3 linked regions of the Lonchura striata genome follow. The protein of the gene in region 3 interacts with the protein of the main gene of each other region in a biochemical or structural test. Links are inferred from orthologs where the notes say so. Each region holds a gene or a part of one and is shown on either strand. Other genes may lie near its edges.

Region 1 (3,744 bases), on a different chromosome or scaffold from region 3:
CTAATTAACATCTTGGCTGGTACAGCAGCCTCATCTGCTTATCGACAGTGATTCCAGGGGTCACCCACAACCCATGACCGGAAAAGCTTCGAGGCATCACCATCGATTTATTTATTCCAGGCCCATGTGGAGCTTTGATGAACAGATACACAGCCACCCCCTGATCCTTTCCCGGGGGACTGCGCAGCCAAGGACAGGACGTCTGGCCAACTGCTGATGCCCATTCCACCCACCCCACACCAGCACTTCCCCCAAACCCACCCCACTCCCCTTTCCAAGGGAAGGGGAAACCCTGTAATGCCCTGCCCGGCTTCCCCCCACAAGCTACACCCCGGGGTAACAGACGCCATCAACCCCTTCTTGACTCAGCCCTTAATATGAAGCGTTTTCTTCCCTGAGATAATCCAAATCCGGATTTAAATTACGAATCTGCTTCCCAGTCCAGCCCCAAGAGTGCCACAGAGCATTTCTGCATCATTTACTTTGAGATTGGTCAGCACCAAACAAGAATTGTATTTCCACGCAAGAGGCACCACGCCGAGCATTAAGTTTTCATTAATATTCAGATCATTCACCAAAAACACACAGCAAGCCAAAGCTAAATTCAGTTTATTGTTTTGTCTACTGTATACAGGTACAGATTTACAAATAGAGAGAGAGCTGTATTTCAGGGCCTGAACACACAAACTGCTTCCACTCACATCCTATATACGTCGGAATCAGCAAGGTTGGCAAGTGCAGCCGCAGGAGAGCACACGCGGTATCTCCTTAACCCTTACGATCCCCCCCACTCCCCTTCCCCAGTTTTAAGCATCCCAAAAGCAGCTCTTTGCTGGACCAGCCAACCCCTCACGCCGGGAATTGTCCCTCCTTCCCGTGCAGCTTACCCATACCGCGTGCACCTCCAGGCCCTGATCCACAAAATCCAGGAACTGCGCTCCAAGGACGTGTTTTATAAAACCACTGGATTTATACATCCTTGGTTCCACCACGTTTTGATTTCTGTGGCTACGTTTTAGTCACACGTAGTGCACTAACAGTACTCGGGCAACTACCTAATTTGGGCACTCTTTAATATACTCACCCCTCTTCCACGGATTTTTCCTTGTTACTTCACCCCAGCAGTTTCTGCAATATTCTAGGAAAAATAGAGCGTTTTTTTCCTGCCTGTTCCTCGTGTCCCACAATACAGCAATTGTGTTTTAAGTTTAGTACACAAGTTTATCTCTAGCCATTTTTTTTCCTGTTTGCCAAGATTCATGATGGCTTTTTTTTTTTTTCCCCCTTCGAGACTCAGGAGTTTCTTTTCCCCATCCATCCAAAATCGAACACCATCATCGAAGCTAGAAGCCTGCGATCTGAACTGACATTACTACCGGATTGGGATTTTATTACTGTCCCATTTTTTTAGAAACATCTTTGCAACTACACACAATATTACATTTTAAACGCAATTACCTTCAAAAATCGTGTTTTACTCCAACTTTTCCGATATTGGCACTGGAAATAATGAAAAAAAAGGTACTTTAAGAATTTCTCAGGTGCTTGTGTTTTTCTGTTTCTCCCTCCCAGCTCCGCATGTGTTCACCGTCCCACCCCGCGTGTCAGTGTATTATCAACAGTTTCTAACCGATTTTTAAGAAGTGTTTCCTGCATGGTTTGTCTCCTCTGTAACGGCCCAAGGGCTCAGAGAAGAAGTAGGAATATGCAGGCTGCAGGCTCGGGGCCCGGCTTGCTCTCCAACGTCGTGGAAAGGGACTGTACGTCACGGGCCCGAGGGCCTGCGCTCCCGTGCGCCACACGGACAGAGCCGAGAGAGAGCGACTTCTCCGGATATCCACGTTGGACCTTTACTTTTAACTTTTATAACCATCCTGATCCCCCCAGGCCCCCGCGCGTCCCAGGCCACGGCAAGCATGGATACTCACGCTGCAGCGGGCCGCACAAACCAAGCTTGAAGAGACTTTGGAACCTGTGGGAAAAGAAAATGGCTGTGAGGGGCGGCTGAGGTAGCGCCGCAGCACCCGCAGCCACGTGTAACTCACGGCGTAGTTTAGCGTTAAAACCAGGATGGAGCGGGCATCCGCTGACAGCGCAGGACCTCACACCACAGCAAGAAAAGGGATTTAAAGGGTAAAAACGGCAAAAAGGGTAAAACTAAATGGCACCTCACCTGTCAGCTCCGCCGCTCCCCACGGTGAAAAAGGCCGAGCCTCGCCGCGCGGCGTTTTTTATAGCGCGCGGGGGCGGGGCCGAAACCCGCGCAGGCGCGTCAGGCGCGAGCGGCGGGGACACACCGTGTATGGGCAGAGGCGCCGGGGCCGCCGCGCCGCGGAGGGCCGGGCCAGCCGCGCCTGCGCAGCGGCCGGCAGGGCGGTTGGCGCACGCGCAGTCGGAAGGGCGCGAAAAGCCTGAGGGGAGGCGCCGCCATGGCGGACCTGCCCCCCTCCCCCTCAGGAGCCCCGGTCAGGCTCCTGCTGAGATCAGCTGAAAAGACACGGCTGCACAAGCAGGGTTTAAGAAAAAGAATTCTAAAATACTTTTATTTAATAATTAAAATCTGTTGTTGCGGAGACTGATATACAATGTAATGGCGGCTGTACAGGGGATGCTGTGAGGGAAGAGCCCCCAGCGGCTGCTGGGCCATAGCCGGCGTGTTGCCACGCTGGTCTGTGAGCAAGACAGAGTTCTTCTCTCCCTCCCGCCCTCCCGCACAAGTGACATCTCACCGATAGTTTAGTTTTGTGCATAATACAGCAGTGGCCCTACCGGATTTTTTTTTTTTTCAACCCGCATTGAGGAAGAATTTTTCTCTCAGAAGAGAAATACCATCTTTTTAAGGTCACTTTTTAAACCTATTCTTCCCCTCCTTTTGATCCACACAGTGAAACGATCAAATTTCCAGTAGGTTTAGCTGTAAAAATGAGAAAAAGGCAACCTTCAACCCTGATTTGGGAGAGTAAAAAACATTTGAGAGAAAGCCACAATAAAAAGGACTGACTACTCTCACAGTTTCTCCTAATTAAAAAGTTTTAAAAAGGCAACAGTCATTGTTCCTGGTTCTGTAATTTGTTAAACAAGCCTAAATATCTCTGGATCTGTTATTAAGATCAGAGCAAGTGTGAGAGTGCAGAGCATTTACACATATGTTGGGTTTTTTTCTTTTTTTTTAACAAAAAGATGCAGCATATGTTAATATCTATACAATTCCCTTCCAGGACAACAAACCGTTGGTCAGTAGTGATTCAGGGCATTAACGACTTGACAGAAAAGAAAACCTCACAAAAACCACCGAGTGCCATGTCAGCCGTCTGCCAGGGTTCTCTGTACACAGCTAATATACACATACATGCTTCTGAGCACATGCTCTCCTCAGCTTCCCAACCTTAGAGCTGCCTTTGTTTTTAATCTCCCTTCCTCACAGAAAGGAGGAGGAAATGAGGAATTGCTCTCCCCAAGACAAGTCTGTACAGCTTGGGAAGGAAGGGGTCCTTCCCCTGGACACGGTCTCCTGGCAGAGTCATATTGCTGAGCCACGTGAGGTATAGTGTCAGTTCCAGCCTGATGGCATGAGAGATGTGTTTGCTCCAGTGAAATGCTACATTCAGACAGGATTCCCCTTCCCTGGCCAGAAGCCCTTTTCTGGATATGTTTGGAAGGCAAATCTTGGAAGAGCTGAGGTTCCACCCTCACTGTATTGCCTCAGAGGGGGATGCAGAGAACTCTTCCAGCCCTCCCAGGTTT
Region 2 (3,744 bases), on a different chromosome or scaffold from region 3:
TCACAGCAAAGAATTTATTCTGTATATCTAATCTAAACCTGCCCCCTCAAGTTTAAAGCTGTTGCCCCTTGTCCTACTATTGTATGTCCTTGTAAAAGCCCCTCTCAACCTTTCTTGCAGGTCCTCTTTAGGTACTTGAAGACTGCTCTAAGGTGCCTCCAGTCTTCTCTAGGCTGAACAATCCCTACTGTCTCAGCCTGTCTTTCACAGGAGAGCTGTCCAGACTCTCTGACCATCTTTGTGACCCTCCTCTGGACCCACTCCAACACGTCCACGTCCTTCATGTGTAAGGGGCCACAGAGGCAGACAGAGTACTGCGGTGGGGTCTCACAAGAACAGACAATACACATATAAATCCATTCACATCAACTGAGTTTGGTGTCATCAGGCTTTCTTCCTCATGGTTTTTTTTTTTTTTTAACATCGTTTACTACAATCCTCCCAAACAGGATATGACTCTACATCTCAAGTTCAGTCTTCAGCTGAACACTCTTCATTCTCATTTCAATGACCAAACCTATCTAGAATAACCTGAGTCTGCTCAGTTTCCTGTCTATCCATTTTTCATTCTGACTGATTTTCACTGGATACAAATGAAAACCTGCAATTCAATTTACCTGCAGTTATTTGAATACTTTATCTATTCCATATTACCTTCCAACAATAAGTACACTTTGAAAAATTGACCGGACTATGCCAATATTTAAAATCAAGTATGAGTCCTGTATGATTTTAGGAAGCAAATATTTTAAAGCCTATGCAACACTTTTATCCAAAAAAATGTTACTTAAAACCATACAATTTAAGACAGTCTAGCTACACTGTAGACAGATTTATGTTTCTAGGTGAAAGTTCATTAACCCACCACAAAGACTAACTGGAGTTCTTCACAGCCATGCATGGTGGAAAAATGAGAGACAACAGGTGTAAATTGAGAAAAAGGAGGTTCAGACTTCAAGAGGTCCAGATCTTTCTGTCCTAATGAGGACAAGTCAAGCAGGAGTGAGTAACTCAAAGAGCTCGTGCAGTCTCCACTCTCAGAGGTTTTCAAGAGCCACTAGGACAAAGCCCCGAGTGACCTGATCTGACCCGAGAGCTGACACTGCTTTGAGCATAGCAGACCTCCTGAGGACACTTCCATTATGAATGATCCTAAACCATAAAATAATTTGCAGCACACCTTGGAAATATTCAGAAACTAGTGACAAATTCAGTGCCGATAAATAAGCAAAATGTTTTTAGGTTATATGTAGGCAGTTGAGAAGAGAGAGAAATTCATCTTCCAGGGAATGGCTTCCATTGCAGCTCTATGTTCAGGAATGTGGGAATAATTCTTGCTGACGCTCTAGAAAGTGCAGTTATCAATACCGAACTTCACTAGCTTTCTAAAAATGTATGTCTCCCCCCCTTCTCACTCGGGATTCATATTTGAGGCATTTTCACTGTAGCATCAGGAATAATGCTTTTTATTCTTCACCAAACAATGCACTGAACTCTGCTGACCGCTGGAGTGATGAGAGTGATAAAAGACCCGATGCAGCCATGCAGCGGGAATTCATGCTAAACCTAGACGCTGGTATTTAATTCAACGGGAGAGATTCCCCACCAGGCTTGACAATGGAGCCTTAAGCATGACAGAGAGAAAGAATTAACGTGGCTTAGCCGCCACAAAGAATTTCAGCTGAAACAACACGTCTGAAAACTTTTTGCTGATAACAAGAGAAACTCAGCATATTAGAAACACTTCTTTTGGATGAAATACTTCTTAGCTGACGAAACACTTGAACACATACGGGGCCGTTCCGAAAAGTTAAAAAACCAAACTCCTGCGTGGCAACAGAGAAGGACCTCGGTCCCGCTCCTGCCGGCCCAGCTGGGGCGGGGGCACGGAGCCCCGGCGAGGGCCGCCTCAGGAGCGCACACCAGACCGCTCCCATCGCGGCAGGCACCACTCTGACCTCCTTCGGGGAACGCCTCCGCTCCCGAGCCACCGAGAGCCGGCCCCACACGCCGCCGCCGGCTCGCCGCCCGCCCTGCGCGGCGGGGCCGGGGCCGCGCTCCGTCACGCCGGGCGGCTCAGGCGGAGCCAGCCGCGGAAAACGGGGACCAGCCGCCCCTGGCGACGCTCCCACACGGCCACGGCGGGGGCGGCCTCGAGGCGGGCGAGGGGCGAGAGCGGCGCCGGACACGCCGGGGCGGGCGCCGAGGGGAGTAACGGGACCCTTCTCGCCCTCACGGGCCGAGGGCCGCCGCGGGCCCTTCGCCCGCCGGGAAAAACGGCCGCCACGTCCCGGCCCCGCCGCCCCGATCGGGGCCAGTCCCGGGCCGCCCCGCCGGCAGCTGGTGCCGCTGCTCACACGTGGGGCTCGGCCGGCCCCGCCGCTTCCCTGCCCCCCTCCCTCCCTCCCTCCCTCCCTCCCGCCCTCCAACGAGGCCCGGCGGGTCTGACAGGCCGTCTCGGCGGCCGCTAACGCGGCGGCCTCGTTACCTCGGCCTGCTTGCGGACCGCATTGTCCGGGCTGAGCAGGTTGCCGAGGAGGGCGTAGAACTGCTCCTGCTCCGTCGCCGCCATTGCTGCGAGAGGGAAGGAGAGGGAGGAAGGGGGAGCGCCGGCCGCGCCGCCGGCGGGGGAACGGGGGGCAGGGCCTAACGCCAGCTGCGTTCCCATTGGCCGCGGCGGACGGAGCCTCGCCCCCGATTGGCCCTGCCTCCCTTTGACGTCCCGGCGGCTCGGGCGAGGCGGGCAGCGGGGAGCGGCGGCTCAACCGACCCCCAGCGGGGGTTTGTCTCCTCGCGTGTCATTGGTGCGCCGCCGCGCCGGGGGCGGGAGGCAGGGGCGGCGGAGCGCTCCGATTGGCGGGCGGCTCCGGCAGCCGCGGCGGGATTGGCCGGAGCCGCAGTCGGGCGGCGCGGGCTGGGAGGGGTCGCGCCGGGACGCGGAGCTGGGGCCGGGCCGGGCCGGGCCGGGCCGGGGGGAGGGCAGGGAAGGGGGGGACGGAGAGCGCGGGAGAGCGCGGGGCGTCGCCTCCGGACACTCGGTGACGTCGTGCTGCTGTCCCGCCACAGGGAATCAGTGAGTCACAGAACCGGTCAGGGTGGCGGGCACCACGGTGGTATCTGGTCCGAGCTCTCTGATCAGACAGGGTCGTCCTAGAGCACACGGCACAGGATTGCATGGAGACAGTTCTTGAATATCTCCAGTGACGGGTACTCCACAGCCTCTCTGGGCAGTCTGTTCCGGTGCCCAGTCACTCGCACAGTAAAGAAGTTCATCCTCATGTTCGGGTGGAACTTCCTGTGTGTCAGCCTCTGCCCGTTGTCTCCTGTTCATTGCTCAGCACGACCGAGCTGGGCCTGGCTCCAACATCGTGGCACCCTCCTTTCAGATACTGATAGACATTAATGAGGTTCCCCCTCAGCCATCTCTTCTCGAGACCAATCAGGCCCAGCTCCCTCAGCCTTTCCTTGTAAGAGAGTTGCTCCAGTCCTCTCATCTCCCTCTGCTGGACCCATTCCAGGAGCTCCGTATTCCTCTTGTGTTGAGGAGCCCAGCACTGGATACGGTACTCCAGATACGGCCTCACCAGGGCTGAGCAGAGCGGCAGGACAACTTCTCCTGATGTGCTGGGATTGCTCTTCCCTAATGCACCCTAGGATACCATTGGCCTTCCTGGCCGCAAGGGCGCTGGTGGCTCATTGTACACCCGCATCGCCAGGTCCTTCTTTGTAGAGCTGTTTCCCATC
Region 3 (3,744 bases):
CAGCTCTATCCCTGAGCAACGTGGCATTGCACCATGAGACTATACAGACTATGGAAGCCAGTGTGGATGTACCCAAATGCCTGGCAGAATCAGTTTAATTCATCTCAGAACTGGTTTAATTCATCTCAGACATGCCAATAAGGCTTAAAGGTAGGCTGAGAGCCTGTGGTCCACATCTCAGGATACCCGTGTCCAGAAGGGCTTCTCAAGGACCTCAAGAATACTTTACGAAAGTAAGATACACTAAAGATGTGCAGGGTGAGTGAAGAAGCAGGGGACAGGTATTTGCCAAGCAGAAAGAACACTGCACATTTTCAGAAAGACAGACTCTGGCATGAAGGTGTCCAACTGCATCATGGTATTGAAAATCTCAAGTTTCTGTGTTCCAAGGCCTTGCCTGAGCACAGCAATCCAGACAGAAATCTGCACTTACTGAAGCACACGTTGTCACCCCTTAACCACCGAGTGCTGCCAGTGCTATTGGTCATTCCATCAATACCAAAGCCCACAAAACACGCTGAAACACAACCTTACTGTGTTCCCACGTTGTCTGGCAAGGGACATTATTCTCTCCACGTAAGAGCTTGAGTTCTACGCCAGCTCATCACTGCAGCCACACTGACAGCTTGCAGCGCAGCCAGCATGAGCAGAAGGAAGGACTGAGCTGTAAGAGGTACAGAACTGTCCCCCCAGATCTTACCTTGGATATAGTAGCCATCACGCAGGCCACCAAACTTCTCCTGGCCAGCTGTGTCCCATACGTTAAATTTAATAGGGCCTCTGTTAGTATGGAACACCAGAGGATGAACTTCAACACCCAGTGTTGCTAGGGAAATAACAAAAAGCAGTGCATTTAGCAAGTCACAGATTGTATTTTCATTTGTAAGATACTGGAGCTCAAATGTTTCTTCAGACATACCTACATACTTCTTTTCAAATTCACCAGTCAAGTGACGCTTTACAAATGTTGTTTTACCAGTGCCACCATCACCAACCAGAACAAGCTGAGGACAGAAAAAGGAAGAGTCAGAGCAATGCATCTTGAGACACTTATCAGTCATTCCAGCACAGATACTACTCATTACTACAAAGAGCACAGCTCCTACAAGGTGCTGTAAACAAAGACAGAACTCCCCATGAAGCAGCTCCCTGTGCTGGGAACCAAATCTGTTAAGTCCACCCATCATGCTGTAACTCTGATCAGTCTTATCCAGCCCTTGTAGGCAAGGGCTGCACTGCAGAATATTTAGGGCTTTCAACCTGACTGTAACCAGATTCCAAGAGGAAATTATCAAAACATCCACTGGAGAAAACCTTTGCTACCTTAAAATTAAAGAACCCACCAACATTTGCACCATAAACTGAAACACACTAGTCAAGAACTGAAAGAAACACAAGTAACAACCTTCAAGAAAGAGTCTTCAGGACTTCTGGCTGTTAAGGTAACAAAAAGATAACCACCACCCCACCAGCCACTCAAAACACCAGAAAATTCCCTTCTGAAACACTTGCACCATTAGCACATGACAGAAAGCAAGCTACTCTAATTCACTCTGGGCAGCTTCAGTTCTTAAATTTAAAAATCATTCTGTAGGTAAAGATTCATTGAAAGCTATCAGACTGAATTACAGATAAAATAATGACACAAAAAAGAATTTAGAAAATAGTTTAATAGAGTCTTTTTGTGCGAGTTGTATTCAACACTTCAATAAATCGCCCCATTAAGGGAAGACCAGCAGTTCAAAACCAAACCCACCATCCACGTAGGCACTCGAGAGTGGTTTGTGTCACTTTTCTAGCGAAGGGAGAAAAAGCCCCGAAGGAAAGCGGGGCAGCGCGGCTTACCTTAAACTGCACTTGCGGCTCTCCCTGGGCGGCCATGCTGCTCTGCGGGGGAAATGGCAGCGTGAGCAATGGCAGCGTGAGCGGGCGAGCGCGGCGCGGCAGCGGCCCCGCCGGAAGGCGCCGCCCGCGTGCGGCGGAATGGCGGCGCGCCGCCGCCCGCCGGGCCCCGGCCCCGCTCCCGACCCGCGCCGGGCCCCCCGGCCCCGCTCCCGACCCGCTCCCGGCCCCCCGGCCCCGCTCCCGACTGCGCCGAGCCCCCCGAGCCGGCATCCCCCCGAGCCGGCATCGCCCCCGAGCCGGCACCCCCCCCGAGCCGGCATCCCCCCCGAGCCGGCATCGCCCCCGAGCCGGCATCGCCCCCGAGCCGGCATCCCCCCGAGCCGGCAGCCCGCCGCCGCTCGGGAGCCGCCGCCCGCCCTGCGGCGCTGCCGCCGCGGCCGGGCCTGCCCGCCGTCAGCCACCATGACAGAGCAGCGCCCCTGCCCCGGCCGGGCGGGCCGCGGGGGCCCCGCCGGCGGCCCTCGCACCGCCCCCTCCCCGCGCACGGCCGCGGCCCGGCGGCCCCGCTCGCGGGGAAAAGCCGCCACGCGCCCGGGCCCCGCGGCCGCGACGCTCCCTCAGGCACGGCCCGCCCGGCCCGGCCGCCAACGAGCCCGACCGCCGCCCCCGCTCTGCAGAGCGGCCGGGCGCGCCCCGATGGCGGCGGGAGCCGGGCCGGGCCGGGGGGCCGGGCCGGGCCCGTACCTCTGCCGAGACTCTCCGCTGCTCGCTCCGTGCGGGCGCAGGGAAAATGGCGGAAGCGCCGTTCAAATACCCGGACGGCGGCGGCGCGCGGCCGCGGGCGGGGCGGCGCCGCGCGTCACGTGGTGCGCGGCGCGCGGGAGGCGGCGGGAGGCGGGGCAGGGCACCGGGGAGAGCGGGTATGGCACCGGGGAGAGCGGGTATGGCACCGGGGACAGCGGGTATGGCACTGGGGAGAGCGGGTATGGCACCGGGGACAGAGGGTATGGCACCGGGGACAGCGGGTATGGCACCGGGTACAGAGGGTATGGCACCGGGGACAGCGGGTATGGCACCGGGGACAGCGGGTATGGCACCGGGCACAGCGGGTATGGGACCGGGTACAGAGGGTACGGCACCGGGGACAGAGGGTATGGCACCGGGGAGAGCGGGTATGGCACCGGGGAGAGCGGGTATGGCACCGGGTACAGCGGGTATGGCACCGGGGACAGCGGGTATGGCACCGGGGACAGAGGGTATGGCACCGGGGAGAGCGGGTATGGCACCGGGCACAGTGGGTATGGCACCGGGGAGAGCGGGTATGGCACCGGGTACAGCGGGTATGGCACCGGGGAGAGCGGGTATGGCACCGGGGAGAGCGGGTATGGCACCGGGGAGAGCGGGTATAGCACCGGGTACAGAGGGTATGGCACCGGGGACAGAGGGTATGGCAGCGGGGACAGAGGGTATGGCACCGGGGAGAGCGGGTATAGCACCGGGGAGAGCGGGTATGGCACCGGGGACAGAGGGTATGGCACCGGGTACAGAGGGTATGGCACCGGGGACAGCGGGTATGGCACCGGGGAGAGCGGGTATGGCACCGGGGACAGAGGGTATGGCACCGGGTACAGCGGGTATGGCACCGGGGAGAGCGGGTATGGCACCGGGGACAGAGGGTATGGCACCGGGTACAGCGGGTATGGCACCGGGGAGAGCGGGTATGGCACCGGGGACAGAGGGTATGGCACCGGGTACAGAGGGTATGGCACTGGGGAGAGCGGGTATGGCACCGGGGACAGCGGGTATGGCACCGGGTACAGAGGGTATGGCACCGGGTACAGAGGGTATGGCACCGGGGAGAGCGGGTATGGCACCGGGGACAGAGGGTATGGCACCGGG

The links.
Region 1: the proteins of RAN (region 3) and RCC1 form a complex in vitro, tested with the Homo sapiens proteins (6 studies listed by BioGRID and IntAct, with this or other methods). The link is inferred for Lonchura striata from reciprocal best matches to the Homo sapiens genes RAN and RCC1.
Region 2: the proteins of RAN (region 3) and IPO5 form a complex in vitro, tested with the Homo sapiens proteins (2 studies listed by BioGRID). The link is inferred for Lonchura striata from reciprocal best matches to the Homo sapiens genes RAN and IPO5.

Annotation. Positions count from the first base shown.
Region 1 is NC_134628.1:105,388-109,131, forward strand, and holds the start of RCC1 (regulator of chromosome condensation), read right to left. Parts: upstream 2,263-3,744; 5' UTR 2,174-2,262; intron 1,973-2,173; 5' UTR 1,929-1,972; intron 1,847-1,928; exon of another isoform or gene 1,642-1,846; intron 1,501-1,641; 5' UTR 1,459-1,500; intron 1-1,458. UniProt on the Homo sapiens protein: Guanine-nucleotide releasing factor that promotes the exchange of Ran-bound GDP by GTP, and thereby plays an important role in RAN-mediated functions in nuclear import and mitosis.
Region 2 is NC_134604.1:77,589,074-77,592,817, reverse strand, and holds the start of IPO5 (importin-5), read right to left. Parts: upstream 2,648-3,744; 5' UTR 2,573-2,647; coding exon 2,489-2,572; intron 1-2,488. UniProt on the Homo sapiens protein: Functions in nuclear protein import as nuclear transport receptor. Serves as receptor for nuclear localization signals (NLS) in cargo substrates.
Region 3 is NC_134620.1:14,959,282-14,963,025, reverse strand, and holds the start of RAN (GTP-binding nuclear protein Ran), read right to left. Parts: upstream 2,712-3,744; 5' UTR 2,590-2,711; intron 1,888-2,589; 5' UTR 1,882-1,887; coding exon 1,846-1,881; intron 1,005-1,845; coding exon 920-1,004; intron 827-919; coding exon 701-826; intron 1-700. UniProt on the Homo sapiens protein: GTPase involved in nucleocytoplasmic transport, participating both to the import and the export from the nucleus of proteins and RNAs. Switches between a cytoplasmic GDP- and a nuclear GTP-bound state by nucleotide exchange and GTP hydrolysis.